Linked DNA regions of Xenopus tropicalis. The protein of the gene in region 1 binds, or shares a complex with, the protein of each later gene. Links are inferred from orthologs where the notes say so. Each region holds a gene or a part of one and is shown in the gene's direction. Other genes may lie near its edges. The genes, in order: ahi1, mks1, tmem237, tmem17, tmem231, b9d2 and cc2d2a.

The links.
Region 2: ahi1 (region 1) and mks1 share a complex: the UniProt entries of both Homo sapiens proteins name them as parts of the tectonic-like complex. The link is inferred for Xenopus tropicalis from reciprocal best matches to the Homo sapiens genes AHI1 and MKS1.
Region 3: ahi1 (region 1) and tmem237 share a complex: the UniProt entries of both Homo sapiens proteins name them as parts of the tectonic-like complex. The link is inferred for Xenopus tropicalis from reciprocal best matches to the Homo sapiens genes AHI1 and TMEM237.
Region 4: ahi1 (region 1) and tmem17 share a complex: the UniProt entries of both Homo sapiens proteins name them as parts of the tectonic-like complex. The link is inferred for Xenopus tropicalis from reciprocal best matches to the Homo sapiens genes AHI1 and TMEM17.
Region 5: ahi1 (region 1) and tmem231 share a complex: the UniProt entries of both Homo sapiens proteins name them as parts of the tectonic-like complex. The link is inferred for Xenopus tropicalis from reciprocal best matches to the Homo sapiens genes AHI1 and TMEM231.
Region 6: ahi1 (region 1) and b9d2 share a complex: the UniProt entries of both Homo sapiens proteins name them as parts of the tectonic-like complex. The link is inferred for Xenopus tropicalis from reciprocal best matches to the Homo sapiens genes AHI1 and B9D2.
Region 7: ahi1 (region 1) and cc2d2a share a complex: the UniProt entries of both Homo sapiens proteins name them as parts of the tectonic-like complex. The link is inferred for Xenopus tropicalis from reciprocal best matches to the Homo sapiens genes AHI1 and CC2D2A.

Annotation. Positions count from the first base shown.
Region 1 is NC_030681.2:71,850,707-71,854,918, reverse strand, and holds the start of ahi1 (jouberin), read left to right. Parts: upstream 1-1,412; 5' UTR 1,413-1,593; exon of another isoform or gene 1,594-1,614; intron 1,615-4,212. UniProt on the Homo sapiens protein: Involved in vesicle trafficking and required for ciliogenesis, formation of primary non-motile cilium, and recruitment of RAB8A to the basal body of primary cilium.
Region 2 is NC_030678.2:41,738,856-41,742,355, forward strand, and holds part of mks1 (Meckel syndrome type 1 protein), read left to right. Parts: coding exon 1-66; intron 67-1,149; coding exon 1,150-1,247; intron 1,248-1,339; coding exon 1,340-1,468; intron 1,469-1,871; coding exon 1,872-1,976; intron 1,977-2,077; coding exon 2,078-2,186; intron 2,187-3,089; coding exon 3,090-3,146; intron 3,147-3,500. UniProt on the Homo sapiens protein: Component of the tectonic-like complex, a complex localized at the transition zone of primary cilia and acting as a barrier that prevents diffusion of transmembrane proteins between the cilia and plasma membranes.
Region 3 is NC_030685.2:53,781,323-53,785,518, forward strand, and holds the start of tmem237 (transmembrane protein 237), read left to right. Parts: upstream 1-1,396; 5' UTR 1,397-1,447; coding exon 1,448-1,462; intron 1,463-1,472; exon of another isoform or gene 1,473-1,515; coding exon of another isoform or gene 1,516-1,554; intron 1,555-1,589; exon of another isoform or gene 1,590-1,879; coding exon of another isoform or gene 1,880-1,900; intron 1,901-4,196. UniProt on the Homo sapiens protein: Component of the transition zone in primary cilia. Required for ciliogenesis.
Region 4 is NC_030677.2:166,773,736-166,777,726, forward strand, and holds the start of tmem17 (transmembrane protein 17B), read left to right. Parts: upstream 1-1,191; 5' UTR 1,192-1,837; coding exon 1,838-1,955; intron 1,956-3,390; coding exon 3,391-3,494; intron 3,495-3,991. UniProt on the Homo sapiens protein: Transmembrane component of the tectonic-like complex, a complex localized at the transition zone of primary cilia and acting as a barrier that prevents diffusion of transmembrane proteins between the cilia and plasma membranes.
Region 5 is NC_030680.2:64,234,200-64,236,936, reverse strand, and holds the end of tmem231 (transmembrane protein 231), read left to right. Parts: intron 1-1,149; coding exon 1,150-1,255; intron 1,256-1,469; coding exon 1,470-1,641; 3' UTR 1,642-2,237; downstream 2,238-2,737. UniProt on the Homo sapiens protein: Transmembrane component of the tectonic-like complex, a complex localized at the transition zone of primary cilia and acting as a barrier that prevents diffusion of transmembrane proteins between the cilia and plasma membranes.
Region 6 is NC_030684.2:79,325,656-79,329,836, reverse strand, and holds the start of b9d2 (B9 domain-containing protein 2), read left to right. Parts: upstream 1-1,381; 5' UTR 1,382-1,452; coding exon 1,453-1,498; intron 1,499-2,267; coding exon 2,268-2,357; intron 2,358-3,077; coding exon 3,078-3,203; intron 3,204-3,379; coding exon 3,380-3,696; 3' UTR 3,697-4,181. UniProt on the Homo sapiens protein: Component of the tectonic-like complex, a complex localized at the transition zone of primary cilia and acting as a barrier that prevents diffusion of transmembrane proteins between the cilia and plasma membranes.
Region 7 is NC_030677.2:27,864,383-27,867,882, forward strand, and holds part of cc2d2a (coiled-coil and C2 domain-containing protein 2A), read left to right. Parts: intron 1-178; coding exon 179-270; intron 271-1,554; coding exon 1,555-1,656; intron 1,657-2,963; coding exon 2,964-3,062; intron 3,063-3,500. UniProt on the Homo sapiens protein: Component of the tectonic-like complex, a complex localized at the transition zone of primary cilia and acting as a barrier that prevents diffusion of transmembrane proteins between the cilia and plasma membranes.

The DNA of each region.
Region 1 (4,212 bases):
ATCTTTGACCTCTCTGCCTTTCACAAACCCTGTTTGTTCAGGGTGGATTAGTAAAGCGGTGATGATTTGTAGCCTGCTGGCGATCATTTTGGCATATGGTTTTTGGTCCAGATTGAAGTGAAATGGGCCTATAACTGCAGCATACTGCTGGGTCTTTGTTAGGTTTATGCAAAACAGTAATTTGCGTTCTTGTCTGATATTGAGTTAAAATGTTTTAATAATATGGGGATTATTTGTTGTTGAATTCTTTATAGAAACCTGCGCTATAACCATCTAGTCCCGGGCTCTTGTTGGATGGTAGATAATTAATTACTTTTGTTATTTCTTCTATTGAGAATGGTGCTTCTAGTTGTGATTGTATATGGTTTGATTTTGGGGAGGTCTAACTTTTTTAGGTATTGCTCTTTTTTTAGCGTTTTGTTTTGGTTGTGGGTCCCTGGGTTTAGATTGTATAGGGTCTGGTAAAATTCCTTAAAACATTTTGCTATATCTGGGTAGGTATGATTAAGTTTTTGCTTTGAATCTTTAATTTGTGTGATAAAAGTTTTGTTTTTCTGCGTTTTTATTAGTCTGGATAGGATTTTAGATGGTTTATTTGCCAATTTTTTATATATAATATTTGCCGTAGTATTCTCTTTTACATTTTAAATATGCTTTTTCGGTGAACTAGTCTAGTAGGTGTTTAGCTGAATTCTTTCAGTTTCTAACTCGGTTTGTATTTTGTTGGCCAGTGTTGTCTTGTGTTTGCTCTCTAAATTGTGAATTTCTTGCATTAGTATTTGTATATTAGCGTTATTCTGTTTTTTCATTTTTGTGCTGAGTGCTTTTAGGTTACCTGTTACTACCTTCAGTGTTAGGGGTCATAGTGTGGAGGGGTCTGTTTTAGTGAGGTTATTAAACGAAATTGTATCTGATATAGAAACAGATATTTCCGTTCTAGTTTGTTTCTGTAATAATAAGAGTTCATTAAATTTCCATACAAATGAAGCTTTCATGGTGATGGGGATCTCAACAAAGTATAACTTTTTTTTCCCCCTAAACTGTGAAAAGCAATGCCCTCTTAAACAAGGGACAAAATGCCAAAATCCCAGTTTAATTACCTATTCCTAAATCAGCCCTAGTTGTCCTAAAATTGTGAAATATTTCTGGGACTCTCTGACGCCACAATGGTAAAAGAGCTTAATTATTGATTACTATGGCTATTTTCACCCATTTTCTCCTAAATTCATTTTTTCTTACCCTAAATTGTGCAATAAAAAGTATTTATTTTTGAATCCCTGACAAAAGTAGGAGCTCCCTGACAGCACAGCGAAAGTAATATGCGAGCAGACAAGCGCCCTGCTGCGCCAACCCTCACACCAACGCGCGTCGCTCTACTGTCCCTAAAACCACTGAATGGTGCGTCCCTAGTACGTGTAGTTGTGACGCCGCATTCTCGCGAGATGAGAATTGGGGATTAGCTGTTCTGAGGTAGTCAAGGAGCAGGACGTAAACAGTGTTGCGGGACATTTAAGCTGCGACCCGAGGCTGCGGGCTGCGTTGAGAAAAAGCGGGACTATTGGGCGGAATGCAATACCTTGACGTGCAGATGTGGTAAATGAGAACATTTCTACAGTATGATTTTGTTTTTCTAAAGTTATTAAAAAAAATACAGCTGTACCCATTTGTAATATGTATTAATTGTATTATTTGACCTGCCGTAGACGCTGCGGCGCACTATGACAATAGCTAATTAGTTATTAATGACTGTGATTGTGCAAATTTGCCTACTGCTAACATGTGCACTACTATCCTGATTTTGATTAAATTGTTTTTTATTTTGTTCTGTTAGCTTTTTGGTCATACTGTGTTATGATCTGAGGCTGCAGATTGAAGACTGTTTATCTTTGCAGAGTACCATGATAATAGTGATTGGTGGCTGGGGGATTGAATCCAGGAAGGATCAAGTGACTGATAATGTTTTACCATAAACCGGTTCCCTGGAACACTGGTGGTGACATCTGTAATCCTATAGCGAAATGACTCCAAGCACACCTCCCAGTATTTGAAAAATCTAAAGAGGGACAAAAAGAAATGCAGTGCATATTGCAATTTTTTGACCACGCCCGTTTTTGTGACCACACCCCCTAAATACCACTCCCATTTTTACCATATTTGGCAGGTTATTTAAAATTTGAACAATTTTTGGGGGGTTTGGGGGTCATGTTTTATTTGTTATTACAGTTTTGCTTAAAAATGTGAAATTGCCCTTTAAGCTGTATGTCTCAGTTCCCCCCAAGAGACCTATTTAGTAGTGATGTGCGGGTTTACCCACTGATTCGGGCTGGCAGTGCAACATCAAAAGCAGGTTTTGGTTGGGTCAAGCCCTTCTGCTTTCCTCCCCGCCTGCAGCCTAACGGAGCCCCAATACCGGATCTGGCAGCGTCTATTTATAGGCGCGTGCCATGCCCACTCCCTCAGTAATGTCATTGGTGGGGTGGGATCAGGTCTATTATTAGTATTTATATAGCACCATCAATTTACGCATTGCTTTACAGAATAGAGTGGTACAAAAGACATAACAGTTAACATGTATATATAAACAATACACAAAAATGGTTTGCAGTTACATTGGATGAGGATCGGAGACACTAGGGGGAGGGCCCTGCTCGCAAGAGCTTACATTCTGAAAATCTGTAAATAGACATGAAGCTGCAGGCCAGGTCAGGTGCCGGTGGAGAAGGGACGGGTTAGGGTCGGGTGTGGGTTGACAAATAGTAGACCTGCACATCACTACTGTTTAGCTTATTAGTTACAATTGTATCTAAGTGCTCGTGTTGCTTGTTAACTTTTCTGGGCTCTCTGCCAAAAGCTGCTTGTTTAATTAAGTTTCAGAAACATTGTATCTTTTTTAGCATTCAGTGCAGGAGATGAAAGTGAAATGAGGGACTTTTCAGTAAGAATCCGGTCTGAGCTGTTGAAATAGGGACTGTCCCGCATCGGGATGTTACTGTGCGCATTGTTACAGTAGGCATCAGCTTGTATCTGAATTTAGTAGTCCACAACAGGTGGAGGTCTGGTGGTACTGTAACTCTAATTTTCCTTCTCTGGTGAATTAACCTTATATCAAATGCACTAGAAGTATGCACAAAAAATATAAATCTAACTACAGTGCTGAGTTCTCTTACCCAGTGGTGGGAAATTCTGTGTTTTTAGTTTCAAATGTAATGTTTTTCTAAACAAGCTGTGGTGCTATGATGGCTGCCACTCAGCGCATTAGGGCTGTTATATGGGGGCTATTAAAGGTGCCAACGTTGCCCCTCTGGACTCATTCTGCAGCTTGTGTGTCGACTGGTCCGATTGCCATCTTGGAGTCAGGAAGGAATTTTTTCCCCTCTGCGGCAAATTAGAGAGGCTTCAGATGGGGTTTTTTGCCTTCCTCTGGATCAACTAGTAGTTAGGCAGGTTATATATAGGCATTATGGTTGAACTTGATGGACATATGTCTTTTTTCAACCCAACTTACTGTGTTACTATGTTACTATGTTACTATGAAAGGGCCTGCTGTGACCAAAAATTAGCCCAGTATCTGTCAGAGAGGTTTGAATATCCTGCATGCATCAGCAAGTTGATGCAATCCTCCTTCAAAAAGCCTCCCTAGGTTTAAAGGAGAGTGAAAGTCATTTTGGCATTTTACTGCCAATAGATTCCGCAGAAAGCATTACCATACCTGAGTAAAGAGCCCTTGAAGATTTCTCAGTTTGCTTAAGAGAGGAAGTCCGATACCTGAAGAACATGTTTACAAAAAAGGAGACAAGAAATCCTGTGTTTCTTTTGATAGAGGACTCGCGTTTCTGTGAGTGCTTATGGGTGTATTTACATAGACCTTTCTGATAAAGCTTACTTAGTTTTTACGTTTCCTTCTCCTTTAATGTATGATCTGCTTGTTGGCCCCTGTGACAGAAAGTGTATTTTATCGCTGTCCACAGAGATAGTGTGATAGCCTTTATTTAAGATATGGGACTTGCAGAAAATAGATATTTGAGACTATTGATAAACTGAGGACTGAAAGAAGAAACATCTATCACAACCTTCAGTGATACCACATACTTTAGGACGCCTTCAGTGTTTTTTTTTCCCAGGACTTGATTCTTTCTGTCATTTTTCTACTTATTATACTCACATTTCATGAAGTAAACTTGTGGCCTACACTAATATTGTATTTTAAGCTGA
Region 2 (3,500 bases), on another chromosome or scaffold:
GGGGGGCGTAAAAACAGACGCATCTTCACCTATACGGACCATGATCGCTATACAAACCTAGAAGAGGTACATTGTTCTATAATAATACTTATGATTGTGAAAACATGCTCTGAAAATTAATTAGTCATCCCTTGTTTTTGCTTTATTATTTAAAACTGTTTCGGCTTTTCTTAAATATTGTAAAAAAAAAAATAATATGCTAAGCTAAAGGAATATTTAAAGGAACACTTTTCCCACCGATCTATATCTTGTGTAAACTATGTAGGGATGCACCGTATCGCGGATTCAGTTCGGGATTCAGCCGAATCCTGGCTGTTTTTTAAGGATTTGGTTTCGGCTGGATATGCGGTCCCGGTCGTACCAAATTGCATATGCTAATTAGAATCCGGAAAGGGTTAAATCCACAAAATCCACAGAATCCTGCTGTGCAGGTTTGTGTGTTCGTAGGTTCGGCCAAACCCAAAAAAGTGGGTTCGGTGCATCCCTAAAACTAAGAATGCAGCTTCTAGATGCATATGCTAAGCTCAGTTTTTCACATAGCAGTATATGCTGGTCACAAAAGTTGGCACAGGAATTAACGAAACCCTGCCACTTAAAATGACCAAACATTTAACAAAACATTTGTAATGTGGCCCCCTTTTGCTCCAGTTTTACTTTGACCTGTTTCGTTTGGATTTTTTGTGCCACTCTACTTTACAGATACTTTACATTTCAATTAAAAAAATAATCTCATGGTTTCTCATGTAAGCTTCAGGCAGTCCGCTATTTGGGTGCTAGCATAGTTAGTAAGATGGCCGTTAACTGGATTTCACATATAAAGTATATGAACTAAGTTAACTGAATTGAGGAACATATGTTTGAGTAGATTATTTACTTCATCACTAAAAATCAACCTAAAATCTGCCTAGGGTTATATACTAAGTAAGAACACTGCATCTTTCAGAATTTTTTACCAGCCACACATGATGGATGTTAGATATTTGCAACAGCTGGATTACTAAATATTGAACAGCCTTTCTCTTATTCCCCTCCCCATAATTTTTTTTTCATCCTCTTATGTTCCTTGAAATTGTTTTGATTACGCCACCATATCTATAAAAGTATAAAGATACTTCTACAGAACAATTAAAAGTTTCATTCTTTCTATAGCACAGCCAATCAGTGACAACTTCTCTAGATGAAACACCCACTTTCTTGGTAGAACGAATGGCAAATGTAAGAAGAAGACGGCAAGACAAAAGGCAGATGTAAGTGTCAGTGCTCATATTATTCTGTGTTTAGTACTATACACTCCATTGCTTTGGAGATATTTCTGATGAAATGTATTGTTTTCTGCCAGTGATGGAGTTGGGATGTGGCATCGTTTTATTACCTGGAAGCCTTCAGATGATTTTATCAGAAGTAATCACATTATTAACACTCCAGTACAGACAATGTACATAATGGCAGACCTAGGACCAGGTGGAAAGTGAGTGAGCCTTACCAACCTTACTAAATGCAATGTAAATGAATTAATTTTCTGTACACAGATTTACATTTTCTGCTATGATTTACATTCTATGAAGCATGTTTCCTTTGCACAGGCAAAGTTGCATATACCCTAGTAAATATTTAGTTTCTTAATTGTAAGTAAGCTATTTCAGTGGGCTTATTAATGCAAATTCTGAGAAAATTTTGCAGCTAAATGACTATCTTTTGATTAAATAATCTTAAGGGCACCTGTATAAATCTACCTCTGTATCTGGAGGGCTAGATGGTATGGGAAGCTGCAACTGGTTATTCAGTTCTGTTTAGTTTTTCCCATCATGCAAATAATTTTCAGTGATGGTCACCACAGTTATTTTACTGCTGTATCTATGTATATATTCCAGCCTTGGATTGAGGGAACATGAACATGTCCTATGTACTGTTCGTGTGGATGCAAATGGTGTGATCACGCTGAAACCTGATGTTACTGGCACAAAGGGACCTTACAGGTAAATACAGCCATGGGAATAGTATAAAACCACAATAAATTCTATTGCAGCAAAGCCAACTTCTCATTACTTTCAAATACTGTTCCCTTCCCCTGAAATAGGCTCGAGGTGGAAGGAGAAAAGCGGCAGCTGTGGAGATATACTTTGCAGCACGTGTCTGAATCTGTTCAGAAGGAAGAGCAGGAAAGGGAACAACATATCTACAAGGATGTAAGCAAAACCATGCTAGTGCTAGGGAAATTGGAATATCAAAAATATTTAAACTCGGTGCTTTTCAGCAAGATTTAAGTTAATATCGAGAGTATCCGTGTGGGAAAAGGGTCTCGAGTTTCTTCTTTCAAAATCATTTTGGTAAATTCATGAAGGGATATTTCAACTTAAAATTAACTTCAAGGGGCAGATTTATGATTGCTTGAGCCTTTTGGTTTCAGGTATAAAACTTGTTTGTAAATAAGTTCGGCAGGTATATCAGATTTAGATCACCGAATAGTCACCCACTCCTGCAAATATAGACAGGGACTAATTAACTAACATAGGTGCTAAATTCTAATTGCTAATTGGTTGTTACTGTGCAGATGCAGTTTAGCACCTATGTTAGTAAATCAGCCTCAGACATGGTTGGCCAGATCTCAGACACTAGGTTGTTGATTATAAATTAATCAAATGATCGATTTATTCAAAGTCACAGATAGTGACCAAAAAATGCGTGTTTGGTATCTGAGTTGTACAGCCCCCCATTTGTCAGGATAACATAAAAATGAGCAGGGATTTTAAAATAAATTTCCTATCCACCAGTCAGTACATCAGAGTCACAGAGTGATGTTGCATGCCAAGGTTAATGCAAATATGTTAAACTTTTGAGGCACTACAAAATGCTTGACCCTTTCAAAAACAGTTTATAGTCCTTTCAGCTAGCACTGAGCTGTAATTGTCCTAGGGATTTCTGTCCCCTAAAATATTCTCTACCTTGTGCCAGAAGAATTAATCAAGTGCTCTGTGTTATTTTGGAAATGCACCCCATAATGCTTTTAACCATTCTGTAAATAAATTAAGTTGCTTTCCCAGTGTGTGTATAGAAATTTGCTAATTGATATCTTTATGGCAATATTTTAGTTATACAGCCGACATAAAGAATATTTGAACAGTTTGGTGGGCTCTGACTTTGAAATGGTAAGTTTTTATTATACTGTTTTTTTTCTTTTTATTTAGAAAGCGCTGGCTTTCATGGGTCTAAAGTAATTTACTACTTGGCAATTATAGGCGTCAAACTTTCATATTTGCTAAATTCAAATTGCTAATTGGTTGTTACTTCTTTCTTATTTATGCTGTTGGCATATGGATAGAAAATTAGAAGAAGGATTGTGAACATAGGGTGGTCAGTGATGCATTCTCAACCTGGTGTAGTGTTTTTAGTGGGGTGCAGCAAGGTTCTGTATTGGGTCCACTTTTATTTAAGTTGTGCTTGAATATCTTGTTATGGGCAAGGGCACATGGGTCGGATTGTCAGCCTGCAAATAAGTGCAG
Region 3 (4,196 bases), on another chromosome or scaffold:
TACTGTAGGTGAATTTCAGTTTCTCAAGTCTAAAAGGAGGCCTTTGGTTGTTTCCAATTATTCAATTGTTCCATTGCTTTTACCAATTTAGTTGCACCTCTCTGTATTATTTCCAGCTCATTAGTTCTTCTAACTGGTGCCAAAAAAAGCACTGCAGTCTTAAGCTAAGGCCTTACCAGCCATTAAGTATCATTATTAACTAGTGTTTATAAAACGTTAGTATATTCAGTTGTGCTGTACAAAAAAAAAAAAACTGCCAAGACTGGTCCATTATTTTAAATGTACCTGTAATTCCAGTAAATGTGTAATATGCTGGTGATATAAGGAATAATGTACCTCCCCCCTTGTTGTAAAATATGAGAATATTAGATTCACACTGGCAACCTGTAGATTCTGAAAATGCCAGAGGGGCTGCTATAAGCAGAGCTGTCAACTTTTGACGGGTGCAGTCCGTGGGGGGCTGCAATTTTTTGTTCCCAAAACGTGGAAATAACGTCACATGTGCGACAGACTTCTGGAAGTGACATCACACACATGCACAAAATCCCCGGCGAAGCCAAAAAATTCTACCTGCACACATGCATCAAATGATGTCACCAAACAATTACTGTACATGCACGCCCAGTATTCGCCACCGGACTTCGGTATATTTGGGCAGAATCAGGAGAATATTGGGGGATGGCTGGGGGGACAAGGCGAATAGGAGACCAGGAGAGAGCCACCACAATCTGGTTACTCCAGAACAAATGGGAGGATTGATAGCTTTGTGTAAGATGGTCACTATTTTTGTGGGCTGGTGGGGGTTGTTTGGGCCTCTGTGTATTGGAAATTCCCAGGCCAGAGTTCCATGACCCATATAAAAGCATAAGGCCAGCCTGTGCTACTGTACATGACAAATCTCCCCAAAATGACTTGCCTTAACATATTACTTGCAGCCATTAAGTTTATGCAAATAGAGGCAATTTCCCCTCTCTTTGGGCGGTCCATCAGTCCGATCCCGATACTATGGCAAGCCAATTCTGGGAGATTTGTCGCCCGTGGTTGTGCAGATTGAACCATTGGAGACAAATATCAACTTGCACCATTACCCCAACCCTAGCTGCTAAGGAAAGAACTGTGATAGCAATTACGCAAACATACAGCTTTACAGAAACAAATATTTAATAATAAGGCTGCCGCACGCCCTCACTTCCTCACCCCAAGCCACTCGGCCCCTCCCTTAGTGCTACAAACGCATGCGCACTTCAAAGCTAGAGCTCAGTGAAAGGCAGTGAATCAGAGCTACTTGGCTTTTTAAACGCGCCCCTTCCAGTCTGGCAGCCAATAAAGAGATAGCATTCTGTGTTTCCATGGAAACTCTTCGGTAGCCTTCCCTGCTCCAGAAACATTCTTTTGCCCGACCTCAGGGAGCATGGAGCTTATCCATTAAGCACATATATGTCCTAAAATGGACAGCGTAAAAGTAAGTTCTGCCTGTGTAACACTACATTCTTGTTTGCATAAACTTTTCAGGGAATGAGGGACTCTGCACATGTAAGCATCACTGATGATGAGGTTGGTGAAAATGGCCGCCAGCTGAAAGCTGCTCTTTGTTTTAAATATGAAAATATGTTTGCTTTGGCAAAGGTGGGGGGGATATATATGCAGTTAAAATGGTATGGTTCGGTAGGGAAATGTGCCTACATGTAGGAAAATAAAGGGTTTAGGGATTAATTCACGTGGGCGTATAAAAGCACTGACCTGTAGCTGAAGGGCAGAAGGTTCTAACCTTTGTAATCCCAGAGTTTATCTACAGATTATTTTTGTGTAAGGAATAAGAGGATCTATGTGTTGTGTAAAGGAACTGCCTAGTATCTGCCTGTATGTGCACTGACTTTTGATGATGGGGAAGAAGCAAGTGGTAAGTACCTTAATGCTTTAGGAAAGGAATGTTATTTGGCAGATGAGAACCTTATAGAACATTCTTACTATCTGATGGATGCAAGCCTTCATAATTTCATGTGAATTTGATATTAAGTTAGTGATTTTTATGTGATTGTACCAGTTCATTGTTACCATCTAATTTATAAATAGAAATGTACTATAAAGTTCAATATAAGAATACTGATTTTTATTAAAGCAGTAAAGTTCATATTCAGTTATTTATTGATGTTATTTAACTTTAACTCTCTGTTTAATGTAGACATTGATATTGTAAGATTGGTAATTGTGGCAGTTGGTTTTCATTTTTATTTGTACAGCAGCTCTCCATCTTGGAATTTCAGCAGCTATGTGGTTGCTAGGGTTTTATTTACCTTAGCAACCAGACAGGGGTTTGAATGAGAGCCTTGAATATGAATCAGTGGCATAACTACACTGCACTGGGCCACCCTGTAAAAAAAAGAAACTTCAAAGGGCCCAGCGCAGAGTAGCAAACGCACCAGGCCCCCTGCCCTGGTGCGTCCCCCCCACCCCCTTGAATATAAGTTAGGGATGCGCCGAACCCACTTTTTTGGGTTCCCCCAAACCCACCCTGACGGATTCTGCCGAATCCTAATTAGCATATACTAATTAGAAGGGGGGCCTGAACAGAAAGATATGGAATAAAAAGTAACCACAATAAAAAAGATGTAAGAGATGTAAAGGCCAATTTATTTTTGGCTGCAGGGATCAGTGACCCCTATTTGACAGCTGGAAAGATGTAAAAGAGGAAGGCAAATAAGTAAAATAATAATAATAATGAAGACCAAATGCAAAGTTGCCAAGAATAGTATGTTCTGTAAAATACTAAGGGGCACATTTACTAACCCACGAACGGGTCGAAATGAGTCCGATTGCGTTTTTTTCGTAAAGATCGGTATTTTGCGATTTTTTCGTATTTTTTGCGATTTTTTCGGCGTCTTTACGAATTTTTCGTTACCAATACGATTTTTGCGTAAAAACGCGAGTTTTTCGTAGCCTTTACGAAAGTTGCGTAAAATCTTGCGCTTTTTCCGTAGCGTTAAAACTTACGCGAAAAGTTGCGCCTTTTTCGTAGCGGTAAAACTTAAAAGGTGCGAAGTTTCGCGTAAGTTTTAACGCTACAAAAAAAGCGCAACTTTTTGCACAAGTTTTAACGCTACGGAAAAATCGCAAGATTTTACGCAACTTTCGTAAAGGCTACGAAAAACTCGCGTTTTTACGCAAAAATCGTATTGGTAACGAAAAATTCGTAAAGACGCCGAAAAAATCGCAAAACATACGAAAAAGTCGCAAAATGTTCGTTTTCAAGTCGGAACTTTTCCAATTCGGGTCGGATTCGTGGGTTAGTAAATCAGCCCCTAAAAGTTAACTTAAAGGTGAACTACCACTTAGGGTCACACAGGCCTTTTTTACCCAGAGGGAATTTTTCATCTCTTTCAGTTTGGCCCCATCTAAAAATTCACTCTAACAAATCTTATTGGCCAAATATATAATAAAAGGGACAAAGTTTGCCAGGATGACCTGTAAATGCTGATTGGTTGATTAAACTAGTAGCAAACTTTGAGTGTTTTATTACATTTCCCATTGTTTTTCACAAAGTACATCAAAGAATTACTTTTTCCAAAATATTTCTGGTTTTATTTTTTAACGTTTTTAGTGTTTTCTGAAAATTGCATTTCTTGCATGACTTCCCTGCCATAACATCTAACATCTGCTAACAATTTAAATATTAAATAAACCCAATAGAATTGTTCTGGCACCAATGTGGATTCATGCAACTCGGTTATGATCAAGTACAAGGTACTGTTATATTATTAAAGAGAAAAAGAAATTCATTTTTAAAAAAATTAATTATTTGATTATAATGGACTCTTTGGGAGATGACCTTCCTGCTATTTGGAGCTTTTTGGATAACTGATTTCTGGATAACGTGTCCTATACCTGTATTTGCTCATTGAACTCACTGAGAGAGTGACAGATTTTAAAAAAAAACTTCTAGGAGGGTGGTCAGTAGGGCTGCTTCCTTGGCTTTGCAGAGTTTAAGGCTGATGGCACATGGGACATTTGGTTATCCACGTGGTGACAACATGTCTGAAAAAATCTTGGATAATTAGTTGGAAGAAACCAACCAACTAATTAGGCGATCCTAAAAATTCCCTGGTGTTTTCATAGCAGCTAGATTTTTATCACATATGTTAAACTTCTCCTGAAATTCTGGAAAATTCTGTTAGCTTTTTGCAGAATTGTTGAAATGA
Region 4 (3,991 bases), on another chromosome or scaffold:
AAAAAATGCTAACAATATAGGAAGGTCAGTTTTGTTTCAGAAAAGGTAGTAACCCTATGTACCTCCACATTCTGTGCTGTAGTAAAAAGTTAGCCAAATGCACATGTCAAATGTGTGTGTAAATATGTTCTGCAACATTCTGGCCTCTTTTCAACCTTTTATAAGAAATGCCAGAACAGGATATAATGCTTTCATTCACCGACACCATAATCAGTTTTTATCAGGAGTCCATTCATGGAGGAAACAGACACAAATATGTTTGCATCTTGTACCTATCTATGCTTGTGTCTTTCAATATAAAGGGAAGGTATGAATTAAAAAAGAGAAAAAAGTGATCAATATACTACATCTATTTAAAAATGCAATGATTTTAGTTAGGACTGCACATAGGTGAAGCCCTCCACCAAAAGAAAGTAAACAAATGTGTCAAATCTGTTGTGTCATCTCATGATGTCGTATTTGTAAGCAATGGAGCCCACTGAAAGGCTCATGTTTCCTCCATTACTTTATGTAACCACAAGTCAGTATAAAAGTACACTAACTACAAAGTCAATGTATAGTAATGTTGTACCACATACACCTTTGTTGCACAACAAGTCCCCATGGTGTATCTATTTAGGTTTTTACAAATATTATCCCAATTGCATAACCCTAAGGTTTGTGCAGTAAAAACATTATAATTTTATTTGGACAACACTGGTCTGTTTTAATATTGCTGCAATATCTTCTTTTTTGGATTTGATGTTATTATTATAAAACAATGTTGTACATTGTAGCGTATACAAATGTTGTGAATATACAGCATGCTTGCACAGCATTTAAGCTGCTTTTGGCTTGCAAGTTACAATAGGCCATCCTCTGATTCTAGAAGATGAGTGCCTGACTGCTCAGAAAATCCAGTCCAACCATGCTTCCCATAGGCCAGTTGGTCATTGCAGTCGCAACTCTCTCCTAATTTTCTTGAGGCCAGCTTATTTGTTTGAGGAATAGCTTACAAGGGGCAACCTTGTGGATGACCAGTAAACTCAAAACAAATGTACAGTATAAGAGGGTTGAGGGTTACATTTGTAGTTAGTTCAACGGGTGCTTCTTATTATTTCCTTGCAGGCATGGAATCAGAAAATCCTTTGTCCCCAAATGCCTAATCAGTAGTTGCTTCCATAGGCAGGAGCTGTTCTTTTCCAAACACACTCCATATTGAGTAAGAATTATGATCTTTTAAAGATCTTTACCAAAGAAGGAACATGGAATTTTATTTGTGGACTGACAACCCAATTACACAACCCATCATTCTTCTGAACACAGCAACATCCAGAACCCAGGTTGCATATTCACTGACACTATTTTTTGATATATAATCTTCTAAACTGTAGGTCTAGGTAATACTCGGGCATTTTCTCCAGCAAAAAAACAATATTCTAAAATATTCAATTGAGATGTGATTCCACTGGCAATAATGGGGTTAGTGGTGGCCAATTTTGATGCCACAATTTGGAAAAATTGGTTAAACATTCAACAATGAACATAATAATATTACAGTAGGAGAAAGCTTGAGTTTATATTGTAAATTGTGACTATTTTCTCTAGACAAGCAATATGGTGCAAAAAGTTAGATTACAAACCAGTGGAGGATAGGAAAGTTTAATATACATTGGAAAAAATACTGCACAGCAGGATTGTACCAAATTAGCTCTCTTCAGGTTCTGATTAAAATAATCCTTTAGTAAAGCAGCCTGTTGCAAATCCCATTGAAACATTTTAATCAACATGCAAGGATGACAGTAATCCTGTCTGATCTCTATAGAAAGACAGAGTTAGCATCTGCTAAGCAGTGGTGATGGCTCTTCTTACTCCACTGCCTGGCAGCGTACGGCATGGACTTGCCAGAATTAGTGGATCTCTCTTCATTCAAAATAAGACCAGAGACTGTGGAGAACAACATGCATATCAGTCAGGTATTGTGCCTTGTAACTCAGGAATAAGTGATATGTTTTGTGCTGCCAGATTTTGCAATCTGAAGTAAGGCTCAAAGCATAGCCCAGAAGTAGCCATCTTTTTACAGTTACAGTTGTAAGTTTAAATCCATGCAATGACTCCAAGCAGAGTCATTATTATGATTTGTTTGTATCTGTATGTAACATGTAGGTTTGATGTACACACCCATATATTGCAGTGCTGAAGTATAGGTTGGTGCTTTATAAATACTTGTTAATTTGTTCTTCCTAATGAATAGATTGTACTTGACAAAGGACAATTCTTTATACAAAATTTAATACAATACAGGTAATTGTCCTATTTTTTAATGTTTATATTATTAATAGGCACATCAAAGTTTGTTTCTTTTACACCCAGCTTCTGAAGCTATTATCATCTCTGGCATTCTATGGAGACAGGCACATTTAGGTCTCCATCTGTGAAAAGCCAATCTGCTTTATCCCAATAAGCTGGGAAGGAGAGGGCAGTTTTCCGAAGCTATTCACAACTGCAGTCTGCAAGATTAAAGGGGACTTCACCCTAAGCTTTTTGAAATGTAAACATAATTTTAAGCAATGTTGCAATATATAGCAATTAAAAACATATGGAACAGTTACCTAAGCCTTTGGAACAGTTACCTAAGCCTGTTCCCTGTTGTCCTGCTGATCTGGCTGTCTACTTTGACAACTCAAATAAAATGTAACAGTAGTCGACTGTCCTCAGCCTGCCTTCAACCTGCATCCTCCAAGTCCCAGAATCCACTGCACATAATGTCAATAAAGAAAGGAACATCACAGTCAGGGGCGATTCTGGACATATCGCCGCCTGAGGTGGCTCCTGGATGCCGCCCCCCCCCCGCTCCCCAGCGCTTACCTTCTGAGCGCAGGAGCGGGTCCGGGGGCAGTGAGATCGCTAGTGCAGAGAGCGCAATTGCGCTCTCTGCACTAGAAGAGCCGAATTTCCGGTTTAAAAACCGGAAATTCGGCTCTTAAAGTTACCAGGAGCTGATTTTTGCGCTTCTGCTGCCCCTGTTTACAGTACAATGCATTGTGGGTTATATAGTTCCTGCATGCTGCCTATAAGTTGTAGAGGAGTTGTTACAATTTGTAACATCAATGTTTTAGTACTTCCTTCCCTGACAGTATTTCAAATGATGCAGCACCTGAAGAACTATTTTGCAGCTGGATTTCAGCATATACAAATGGTATTTATACAAATAAATGTACTAAAATGTATTCTTATGAAATACTGCACAATAACAGAAAAAAGGACATTTAAAGCACAAATGTTGTTACTTGATATTGATTTGATGCTGCAAAGTTCTGCTCTCAAAGCTTCAGTCTTAACAAGGCAAAAATGTTTGCAAATGGTCAATGGGCTGAAAATAAAATATCTGTATATTTTCCTTTGTTTTAGGCCATGACCTACTGTCAAGCCTTCCACTACAGATGATGTTATATTTCAATGCTTTCTTTTTTCCTTTCTGGATTATATCAGAGATCATTACCATGGAACTCAAGGTAAAGTGTTTTATTATGTTCTTCTAATATGAAGATATCTAGTAGCCCTGTAGCCATACACACAAGCTATGGGGGCAAATTGATTCAGATTCAAATTTGACTTCTTGCTGCATTTTCCAAACAGTTAGCAGAGGGGGATCACTAAGCGGATTGCTTGTATTATTACAGGCATAAGTGTTTTGTAGTGTCAATTAAAACAAAAGAGCTTTACCCATTTATATTCAGGATCATCAGAGGTGCTCTGTGCTATTTGTTAAATAGGAAAAGAGAACAGAGAAGGTAAAGTCACATTATAAAATATAAAGAGTCCATAACGTCCAGAACAGATTAAAAATGTTATAGGTTTTCCCTGGTTAAAAAAATGTATCTTCACTGGTTCTTTGATATATAATTAGAAATAAAAGAATCAAAAGAAAATAATGGACATACAGTATTATGATAATAGAACAGACATTTTTTATCAATTATATTTCTCCATCTCATTCATTTCTTTTTGG
Region 5 (2,737 bases), on another chromosome or scaffold:
GTAACGTATTTACTTTTTCTCTCTAAAATTATGACAGTTGCTAGTAATTGATGTTAAATAAGCTAGCATAAATGTCTCTCTCATTCCTTTCTTAAAGCATGGTGCTTAATTTTATTAAAAGACCTTTTATCTAGATAATCTCAGAAGTTAAGCATTAAAAATAATAGATTTCATATGTTTAATACTAGTAGCTTAGAGCACGTATCCCTCTTGCCCTGTCTAGTAGTTTATTTGCTCCTTGATGGACAATGCACTACTGTATATGTGTGGCCTTTTGGGAGAATGAATGTATGTGAAATATATTAAAATCTATAGCTATACATTTTTATGAAGTTGCCCAATCCACTGGACATTAAAAGCACTAGGGTATATACTGATCAGATTTTAGATGAACATAAACACTGTTGAACACATCACCCACACACAATTTATATTCCATAATGTTTGGCATGTGTGAGTGACATGTGCCACCTATTTTGGCATAACTGTCTGTGCCAATTGATTTGGGCAGGAAGAATTGAGCAGTGCCAAGCAACATATGGAAGTGCAAAAAGTACCTTTCTAAGCAAGTACCTTCTTACCCAATTTTCTCATGCAACTTACTGCAAGGAAATTAGCGGCATTGCTGCTGTACTAGCAGTTGTAAATGACCCCTACCATGCTGAATGGCACATTAACTGTTCTTAGCTGCTGACGAACCATTCACTGTAAGATAATAAATATGTGTGCTGGTTTAAATGGAAGAGTTTGCAAGCCTAACGGGAAATCTTAAACTGCTCTGTATTATGGGAGCCAATGCTAAATGGTCAGTGCTTAGAGTATGGTGGACAAGGACAGTTGTAACCCTGAGGCTTTGAACACAAAAGGGTAGAAAAGGGGCTGTATGTCAAATGTGAAACATAATTAAACGTTATAATAATAAAAAAAAATATATATATATATATTCATTATATTTGTAGTGTTTGTGTGTATGTATACAGAATAGACATAAATTTCGGCAACATCATTTTTGGCAACAGATTTGTTTGTTTTGTGAGAGATTTGTGAGATATTTTTATATTTTATGCATTATTATAGTTGTTATTATTTACCTTAAAGTATTAGGCATCTTTTTGTGTTTGTTAACTTTTTAATGTTATCTGGTTGCAGTGACCACAGTTCTGAATGCCCCAAACCCCCTGTGGATTGTTGGGAGAGCTGCTTCTGATCCATTTGTAATAAAAGCTGTTATCCGGTATCCCGTGGAATCAATATCATATCCTTTAACTCTTGTACAAGTTTGAAAAGTATAATTCTTTGTGCATATGCACAGCTTCTAGAGTATTTCATATGCCTACAAGTATTAAGAAAACTATTACTTTTATATCCGGTGCTTGGGCTATTTCTGATTTCTATTTCCTGGGATTTTGTTTACTGTTTTCAATATTAGTGCCACATGTCCCTTTTGAAGATTCCTTAACATTATCCACATATGTGCCTGGATTCTGGGAAATGCTAAAATATGCATGGATTCAGTATGTCAGTATCCTTCTCATTTTCCTTTGGGTATTTGAGAGAATTAAAATATTTGTTTTTCAAAATCAAGTTTTGACTACAGTACCAGGCCCAATACCATCATTGTATAAAAGTCATCAGAGCTGATAACCAACCCCATATGATAAACTGGATCTTGGGTATGCCTTTTGAGGCCTTAAGACTTCTAATAACTTCTCTTTCTTTACTGTGATAAAGAAGTGGATTTTCAGGAACATGAGAGGAAACCTATTTGCTATGTTGGAATTATTACAGCAGGAATTTCAGACGTGTTACTGATAAACTTCAACTCCCACAAAACATGCAAATAACACTAAGCGAATTCTAAGGGTTGTAATTAAGCAAGAGGTGAAAGCTTGCCTCAACAGCCCATACATTTAATGCTATGTTTTAATAATATCTTCTTGGAAAAATGAACCTAAATGTACTTCCTTTGGTAATATTTCCTTCTTTCTGAAGAGAGTGTTGGTTTAAAAATCCAGTGGCACTGGCAGTACATTGGATTGCCGTATACTACTGGTACCACTCCATCTTAAATTTCTTCGCTCCTAGTCATTTTTTTGTGGAAGCTAGAAATTGTTTTGCAAAATATCTCAGTCTTCCCAAATATTTCAGTTATTATTAACTGAATATTTCATTTTTATTAAAGGGGACCTGTCACCCAAACATAAAAAGCTGTATAATAAAAGTCCTGTTAAAATGAAACATAAAATCCAAATTCCTTTTTTTATTAACACATCCAAACCCATTATAAAGGCATTTAAAAATTCCAGCTGTAAATCATATATTGTATTAGGCATAGAGGTGGGGCAGACAATTACTTTCACTTTCCATTCAGCACTTCGTAGATGTCACTGCCACCCTCATCACTTTCCCCCTCCCTCCTCACCATCTAACTGTGTAGCCAGTGCATGGGCATGGGCATCAGGTCCCCCATTCTGGCACATAAACAAGATTTTGTTGTTGAAGCGAAGCTTTCCTTACTAAAATAGCACCTGGCTGCTTGCTGTAGTTGTGTAAAGACTGTGTAAAGACTGAAGGAAACAGGATTTAAATAATTAAATAATTAATTACAATAATTATATTGTGTAAGTAAAGTTTATTATGCTTGACTAATCTGATAGAAAATAATTTGGAATTATTTCTTACGATGACAGGTCCCCTTTAAAGGAGAAGGAAAGATAAAAACTAAGTAAGCTTTATC
Region 6 (4,181 bases), on another chromosome or scaffold:
GTTACGCATAAAACCATGCTGGCACAAACTAATAGTATTGTGAACTGCAATGTATTCAAGTACCCTATCTTTCTTTTGGTCTCTATCTGTACCTGTCAGTAACAGTGCACTCTCTCAAAAGAATGCTCTTTTACAAGGAAATGGGCAGAGACAAATGGAGAGATCTGATAAGAAATGCATACTGAGCATGCAGAATAAATCACTCAATGAGAAAGGGGTAAAATGGGGCAAACAGTTATCTTGTGAAGCAACAGACAGGATCTTTTAAAGACACTAAAATAACAGCATATGTTCCGCAAAAATTGGCTCATTACCAGCTTGTCTTGCAGTAAAGCAGCTTTAGCAATCTTTTATAACAAAAATACTAATGTATTTCTTGCATGAATTGGATCAACGACACCTTTTCAGATAGGGATATCCTAAATAAATTCTTCTGCGTTCATGTATCCAAGTATCTCCCTACTTCTTTTAAAATGTAATTAAATATTTTGGCCACTATGTCTGTCATAAAAGTGAATGCGTTTCGTCTGACGCTGCCATTCAAAGTTTCCAGCATTTTAAAAGCTGGGTTCTTTTTGGTTTAAAGGCTTTACATTTGGGGGTGTGACTACAAAGTGGGAGCAGACAAACGCATTTTCAGCATGGCCATGCTAATTCTCATTACACCCCCCTCAGCCACTAACTTGCTGAACTTTAAATGGACGCTAATATGTCTCTTGTATACGTAATGCCTCAGAACCCGACACGACACGACGCCCTATATCTGTTTAAGCAACGTTCCATTACACTATGTTGTATTATAAATCACAGATTGCAGTATTAATAGCTATCGTTTAATCCCAATACTTCGTCTCCCACAGACTATCAGTCTCGATCAGTTTACACATTTCGCCTACAACAGACGTCACTTCCGCCGGTGAACCAATCAGATCTGCTGTATGCAACGGTTGCACAGCAACAGGCGGAGTCTACCAAAGTGAGAATTAGAAGGGGCAAAAAGCTAAGACAAGGAGCCGGTTTTCAGAGGGGGTCCGGTGAGATTTATGTTGCAGTTGTGCGGTTAGGGGAAGCATTTATAGCGGGATGTAAAAGAGGGCGAAAAATATTTAGAGCTAATAAACTGGTAAAGCGCTTACATCTTACCCTACTGCGGTGTTATATACGCAAAGGTAGATATGATTCGCAGGTTGTCGGTATGGAGTCCTGATGATTTTGCACCATCATCCAAATATGTATCGTCAGTAATTTATATGCTCATAGCACACACAATGGCGCCAGTGTAGGGAGTGTAATGGGGGTATTACGTTTTCCAGCAGCTGATAGTTGACAAACAGAGGCTCTTGGCTGATTCTGTAAGTGTAAGCTGTAGGGCCCTCAGTTTAGGGATTCTATTTGTTGATTCTATAGTGCCTTCACTGTCAGTGTTCTATGTAGTTATGAAATTCACTGTACATGAATAGCCACACTCATGAATTACATTACAGCCCAACTTGTGCAGGTATAAGTAGGTTTTTTTTGCTTGATGTTGGTCATTGACCTGGTTAGTTACATATGTAATACACTATGCGGTAATGACAAATAAAATTATGCTTTCAAATTGGTTTTATTGGATGTGTAATGAACAGTTTGGTTATGACATGCCACGTCTTACAGGGCTTATTGCTGGGGGTTAGCTACATATACTAATAATATACGTAGTAATAACACTGCGCTAAAAGTAGGTAATAAATAAAATGTATATGTAATACTAATGTTCCTTCTAAGCTATGCATTTGTGGATATTTAAATTACGATGTCAGGGCACATGCATTAGAACCGCCCTTTTACATTATTGAGGCCACTAGAAAATAATGGGGGATGTCATATCCTTGAAATGTATTAATCATTATATTTTGGAGGGACCACAAAATAAAAAAACCTAAGTAAGGGATGAAAAATAAAGTTTTACTGTAATAAATTGTGGTGCGCAAAAAGAATTTTGTATGTAAAGGCATAATTTAGAATTTTTTTAGACTTGCGCATAGTTTTTATAAAAGTGCTCAAATAGGTTTAGGAAGTAGGCACAAAAGAAAGTTTTTGCACACACAGCCAAGAAAAAAAGGAAAACTTGGTCACTGAGGCTTGTATATTTATATTGGCGTCAGATGGTATAAGAAGTGTAATTTCTAGCTGTTATTGTTTGTTGGACCTACTTCTAATAAAAATTATAATTTAGTTTCTTCACAATAATGATGTAACTGAAATATATTTTACCTTTCCTCCTACAGTAATGGCAGAGGTTCACATCATAGGGCAAATTATTGGGGCTAGTGGCTTCCCCCAACACAGCCTGTTTTGCAAATGGGGAGTACACACAGGTAAGAGTCATCATTTTGCATTTTAAATGGATCTATATATCAATTGTACATAAAAAAAACACAGTTTTGTTTTTTTGTGGAGCTGTACGCTGTTGAAAATGTGGTATATGCATTCAGTTGGCCCCACTTTTATTCTAGTACAGGTATGGGATTCCTTATACGGAAACCCGTTATCCAGAAAGTTCTGAATTATGGAATGCCCGTCTCCCATAGACTCCATTTTAATCAAATAATTCAGAATTTTAAAACAGATTTCCTTTTTCGCTGTAGTAATAAAACAATACCTTGTAATTGATCCCAACTAAGATATAAATAATCCTTATTGGATGCAAAACAATCCCATAGGGTTTAATTAATGTTTTATTGATTCTTTAGTAGATTTAAGCTATGGAGATCCAAATTACCCTTGGTCCCGAGCATTCTGAATAATGGGTCCTATACCTGTAATATATTTTTAAGTTTGTGATGTGAAGAAGAAATATATGCGTCAGGTGACCCCTGTATTTATTCTAGTAATGTGAAGTGAAGGAGAAGGCTGTGTTTGTATAACTTAAAGCCCATTTTTGGCTTTACTTTACATAAACAATATAAAAGAGTCTTAAAGGAAATGTTAATGTTTTGAGAAAATCTTGATATATAAGATACTGGTGTGGCTCTATCTATTATTAACCATATGATATTTCTATTTGTAATAACATCGTTCCCTACCATAACATTTAGGTGGAGCCTGGAAGCTACTTTCTGGGGTTGTGGAAGGCCAGACACAAGTAGATCATCCACAAAATGATGACATGGCATTCTGGTCTCACCCTATTGACATGCACTTTGCTACTAAAGGATTACAAGGTAAAGTATGATAGAATAAAGAATAAAATAAAGAATCTGTTAAAATTATTGTAATCACATTGGAGCCCCTGCACAGGCTCCCAACCCTAACCCTACCCATTCAAATGAACACACTTTACCTACCAAAGGTGCAAAGTACATTATGTACTTTAAATGCTTGTATTTCCCCCACTTAGGTTGGCCAAAACTTCACCTTCAAGTCTGGCATCAGGACACATTTGGTCGTAATGAACTTTATGGTTACAGCTTCCTCCACATCCCTTCCACCCCTGGTACTCACTCATTGCTTAGCCCAACCTGGCGACCCCTGGGAACATGGCAGGAGCAAATATGTCAGATGTTTGTTGGCGGCGGCCCACAACTTAAGTCATCCAGCCTGATTTATGGAGGGTCTGATCGCTACCGTCTGCAAACAGTGGCCATGGGGCAAGTACATCTCCAATTAACGGTCATACTCAGGAACTTTGAACGATACGGGGTGGAGTGTTCTTGATTTTGCAGAGTGCTAAGAACTTGTTCCTGGTTTTCCAAATGATTATTTTTGGTGCCAAGGACATATGCACTGAAATAATCAGCAAGACATTTTATGGAATTACTTGTGAACACCTCAAACAGAATCCTGCTCAGTATTTAATGAGCCCCTTTTCTCAACCCTTCTTAATAAACCTGATACTTCATATCTCTTCTGTACCATAATCTGGTAACATTTATCCTCCTCCCCTTCTACTAACATCTCTTACACTTTCCCAAATTGTCTGTTACTTCTGATATTAGCCATTTTCCTCATTGTATCACTTTTTTACTATCCTTGCTTTGTTTTCAGCCCTGTTATAAAGCACACTCCCTTTCTCTCCTTTCATTTTCATAATACCTCATTCACATCAATCACTTACCAGAATACATTTATATATAAAGTAAATTGAATGTTTTTGTTTTTAAATACTTTTCAGGCTCTTTTGACGATTATCTTAAATCAGT
Region 7 (3,500 bases), on another chromosome or scaffold:
TTTTAAATCTGTTTTTTATTGATCCCCAGATATAGGGGAGCATCTTCCCTACATAAATCTAAACAGAGCCAAAACACAAGAATCCTTAGGAAATACACATATACAATATTTTGCTTTAAAAAAAATAGAAAAGTCGGTGACTTGAATTTGATGCCTTTTTTAATATAAATGTTTTCAGGCCTTCCACCTTTAGCGGCTTCCACACCAGTGCCCAGTGCTGCTGAAGCTTCCATGAGAGAGCGGCTCAGAGAAAGACTGAAAGCTGCAAGGGTATGTATCTAAAAAATGTTTTTCTTGTATTGCTTTAGAGAATTAGTCTGAACACTCCTTGCAAAACTGATTTAAATCTTGTGGATTCATTTAAGGTCCTGTAGGAAAGTTCTTTGCCAGTGATTTCTTAGTTTCTAGTTAAAATGAAATAGAAGCTGACCTTTTTTTGCCCAAGCGATTGCAAACTGAGCGGCAGTCTACTGAAGTGCAGGTGCTACTTCAGATCACAGGTTCTGTGCCTTATTATGACTATAAGCTTGCCCAGTGTTCTTTCTAAAGGGCCACTGCTGCCAGTCCATATAGGGCAGGCATCCCCAACCTTTTATACCTGTGAGCAACATTTAAATGAAAAAAGTGTTGGGGAGCAACACAAGCATGAAAAAAGTTCCTGAGGTGCCAAGTAAGAGCTATAATTGGCTATTTGGCAGCCCCTATGTGGAGGCTCTATTTGGCAGCACACTATGTTTTTATGCAGCCAAAACTTGCCTCCAAACCAGGAATTTAAAAATAAGTAGCTGATTTCAGGCCACTGAAAGTAACATCCAAGTGGTTGGTGAGCAACATGTTGCTCACGAGCCACTGGTTGGGGATCACTGACATAGGGGCTTCCAAATAGCCAATATGTGACACCAGGAACATTTTTCATGCTTATGTTTCTCCCCAACTCTTTTTACATTTGAATGTGACCACAGGTATAAAACATTGGGGATCCCTGTACTAGGCAATACATGTACTGATAATATATATGGTATCTCTGAAAGCCTGTAACAAAGCTTAGGGAATTATCCCTGCTATGGTGAGTGTGATTTTGCAAGTCATGCATTAGTGCATTTATATACCCCTGCTTTGCTCAGTCACACCCCTTTCTGTTCTATTTTAATTGGATTTTACAATATTAGCGGATCTATGGGAAGTGATAAGGAAGATTGTGGACTTTCCACCCAGAGAGACAATTGCTTAGGCACGGCAAGAAGTGGAATTATTCTGGAAATGAAGCAAAAATGAAATTACATATATATGCGGCATTTAACATTTCCATGAGTCAAATTCAGTGGCCCTATTTCATTTGTCTTAGTGATGGTGCCCATGAAGGATGGAATCTTAGCTGACAGCAGAATATGCAAGGAATGCTTTTTCCATGTTTGGTACACTCCTTGAGCAAAATACCTTTTTGTCAAACACTTGAATTATATTTTTGCATCTTAATCGTGTGCTAGAGAAACTTCTTGCTTGAGGCTATAAAGGATATACCATAATCTCTGATCCTTTCTTTTCTATGGCAAGTCTAAGGCAGAAAGTACTCTACAGGATGAGTCCCCAGTTGTTTCGCCCCAAAGATTACCTAAGTCTAAACATGCAGATTCATTCAGAAGGTTTAATGAAGAGGTGAGTGCATTTTCATTTGCCTTGCTTATATGATTGTATTAGAGTCCTGTTTCTTAACCTTGGGTCCACAGATATTTCTGAACTACAATGGCTAATATTCTTTAACTTTTAATAAGGTTTAAAGGACAAGTTAGACACCTCCAGCCAATACAGTCACTTTATTTTTAACACAGATTGACGCTCCCTTTTTTTGTGAAAAAAAAGCTTGCTCAGGGTTTTTCCCTGCTGTGCATTGTGCTGCTATCTTCAGTCATTTCCCAGCAATCCCTTTAGTTTGCCATGGACTGTGTGCATGCGCAGTATAGTACAATTTTTTTATTTTATTACCCTGTGCATGTCGCAATTTTTGATGGCATGATTCTGAGTGTGTGAACAGTTCAGGACAGCCACAAGTGACTAGCAATGGCAGCACTGAGTCAGAAAAGTACCCTGGTCAGGGGCCCCGTTCCTGTAACGGTGGCCGTACACAGGCCAATTTCAGCTGCCTATATCAGTCTTTTATACCGATTCGGCAGCTTATCTGCCTGTGTATGGGCACCAAGGACGGGCCTTCCCGACTGAAATCCGGCCAAAAATCGAGCAGATCTCGATCAAGATTGTTTTTTCTTTTTCTGTCGGATAGGGGACCGCATCGGCTCGTTGATGCGGTCTCCGAACTGATGTTGCGTGTGCCTGCTGTTTAATTTGATTGTTTGGCCCTAGGGAGAAGCTCAGCTCGCTTATTGACCTTGCCAAATGAGTGGATCTTACAGTGTATGGCCACCTTAAGTGTCTTACCCATCTGCGGTAAAAAGTTAGAGATTATACTCATTTGACTGGGTAGCAGGTTTTGTACTAAAACTAGGGTGACCAGTTAACTTGTAAATCCAGGGACATGTCTAAATAAATAAATGTTGCAGGGTAGAACTGATTGCATTTGAATTAAGATGGAATCATTTTAGCCCTGCTAGCTGGATTTTCTAGACGTGTCCCTGAATTTTCAAGTGATCTCGTTACCCTAACTATAACTCAAGCATAGCAGTTTTTGACAATATACTCTCTGTTTATAACCTAGAAACATCTAATGGTATAAATACTGAAAAGCTGAACCAGCGCAGTGAAGTATTTTTACAATGGCAATTGTATCATTTATGTTTTGTAGATCTTGTATATCTTTAGAAATAGCAAAGTAATATTCTTTTGTATTAATTTTTATTTTTGCAGGCCTTTGAGAATGTTTTTTATTGCATATTATTTTAATTTTTTTTCTTTGTTTAACTTCTTAGTTTTATTATTTATTAATTTTTTTTTTTTTTTTATTACTCCAGGATTCCTTTCAACTGGACAGGGTTAGAGAAGCTGAGACTGAGTTGACATCAAGGGTCAGATTTCGAGAGGCTGTAAAGACTGTACAGAAAAAGTCCCAGGTATGAATATCTGTTTAGAATTTTGATGTCAATAAAACAAAATTGGGAGCAACCCAAAAGGTCTTCTTAAAATTCTTTTGTACATTTTACCCAGCGGAAGTGGCATAATGGTCAACGATAGTGGTATAGTAGTATCCGTGCTTCTAAAATCCCCCAGAAATGAACAGAGAGTAAGTGAGTGTTTCTGTAGTGAGCTCTAATTTCACCCATTGATAAATCTGCCCCTTAGTGTCCTTTCACAGCATTAAGGGGATTCCTTAATTTAATTAAATTTAGATTTTTGATGTCAATTTAATTTTTAAAAATTACATTTAATTTTTGATGCCTTTTGATAGAGTTGGGTTGTTTTCTGCCACTTCAGCGTTCTCAGGCAGGACTTTTATATCTCCCATACTACTCAGGCAAAACATAAAAAGAATTCAAGGCATCAGACTAGTA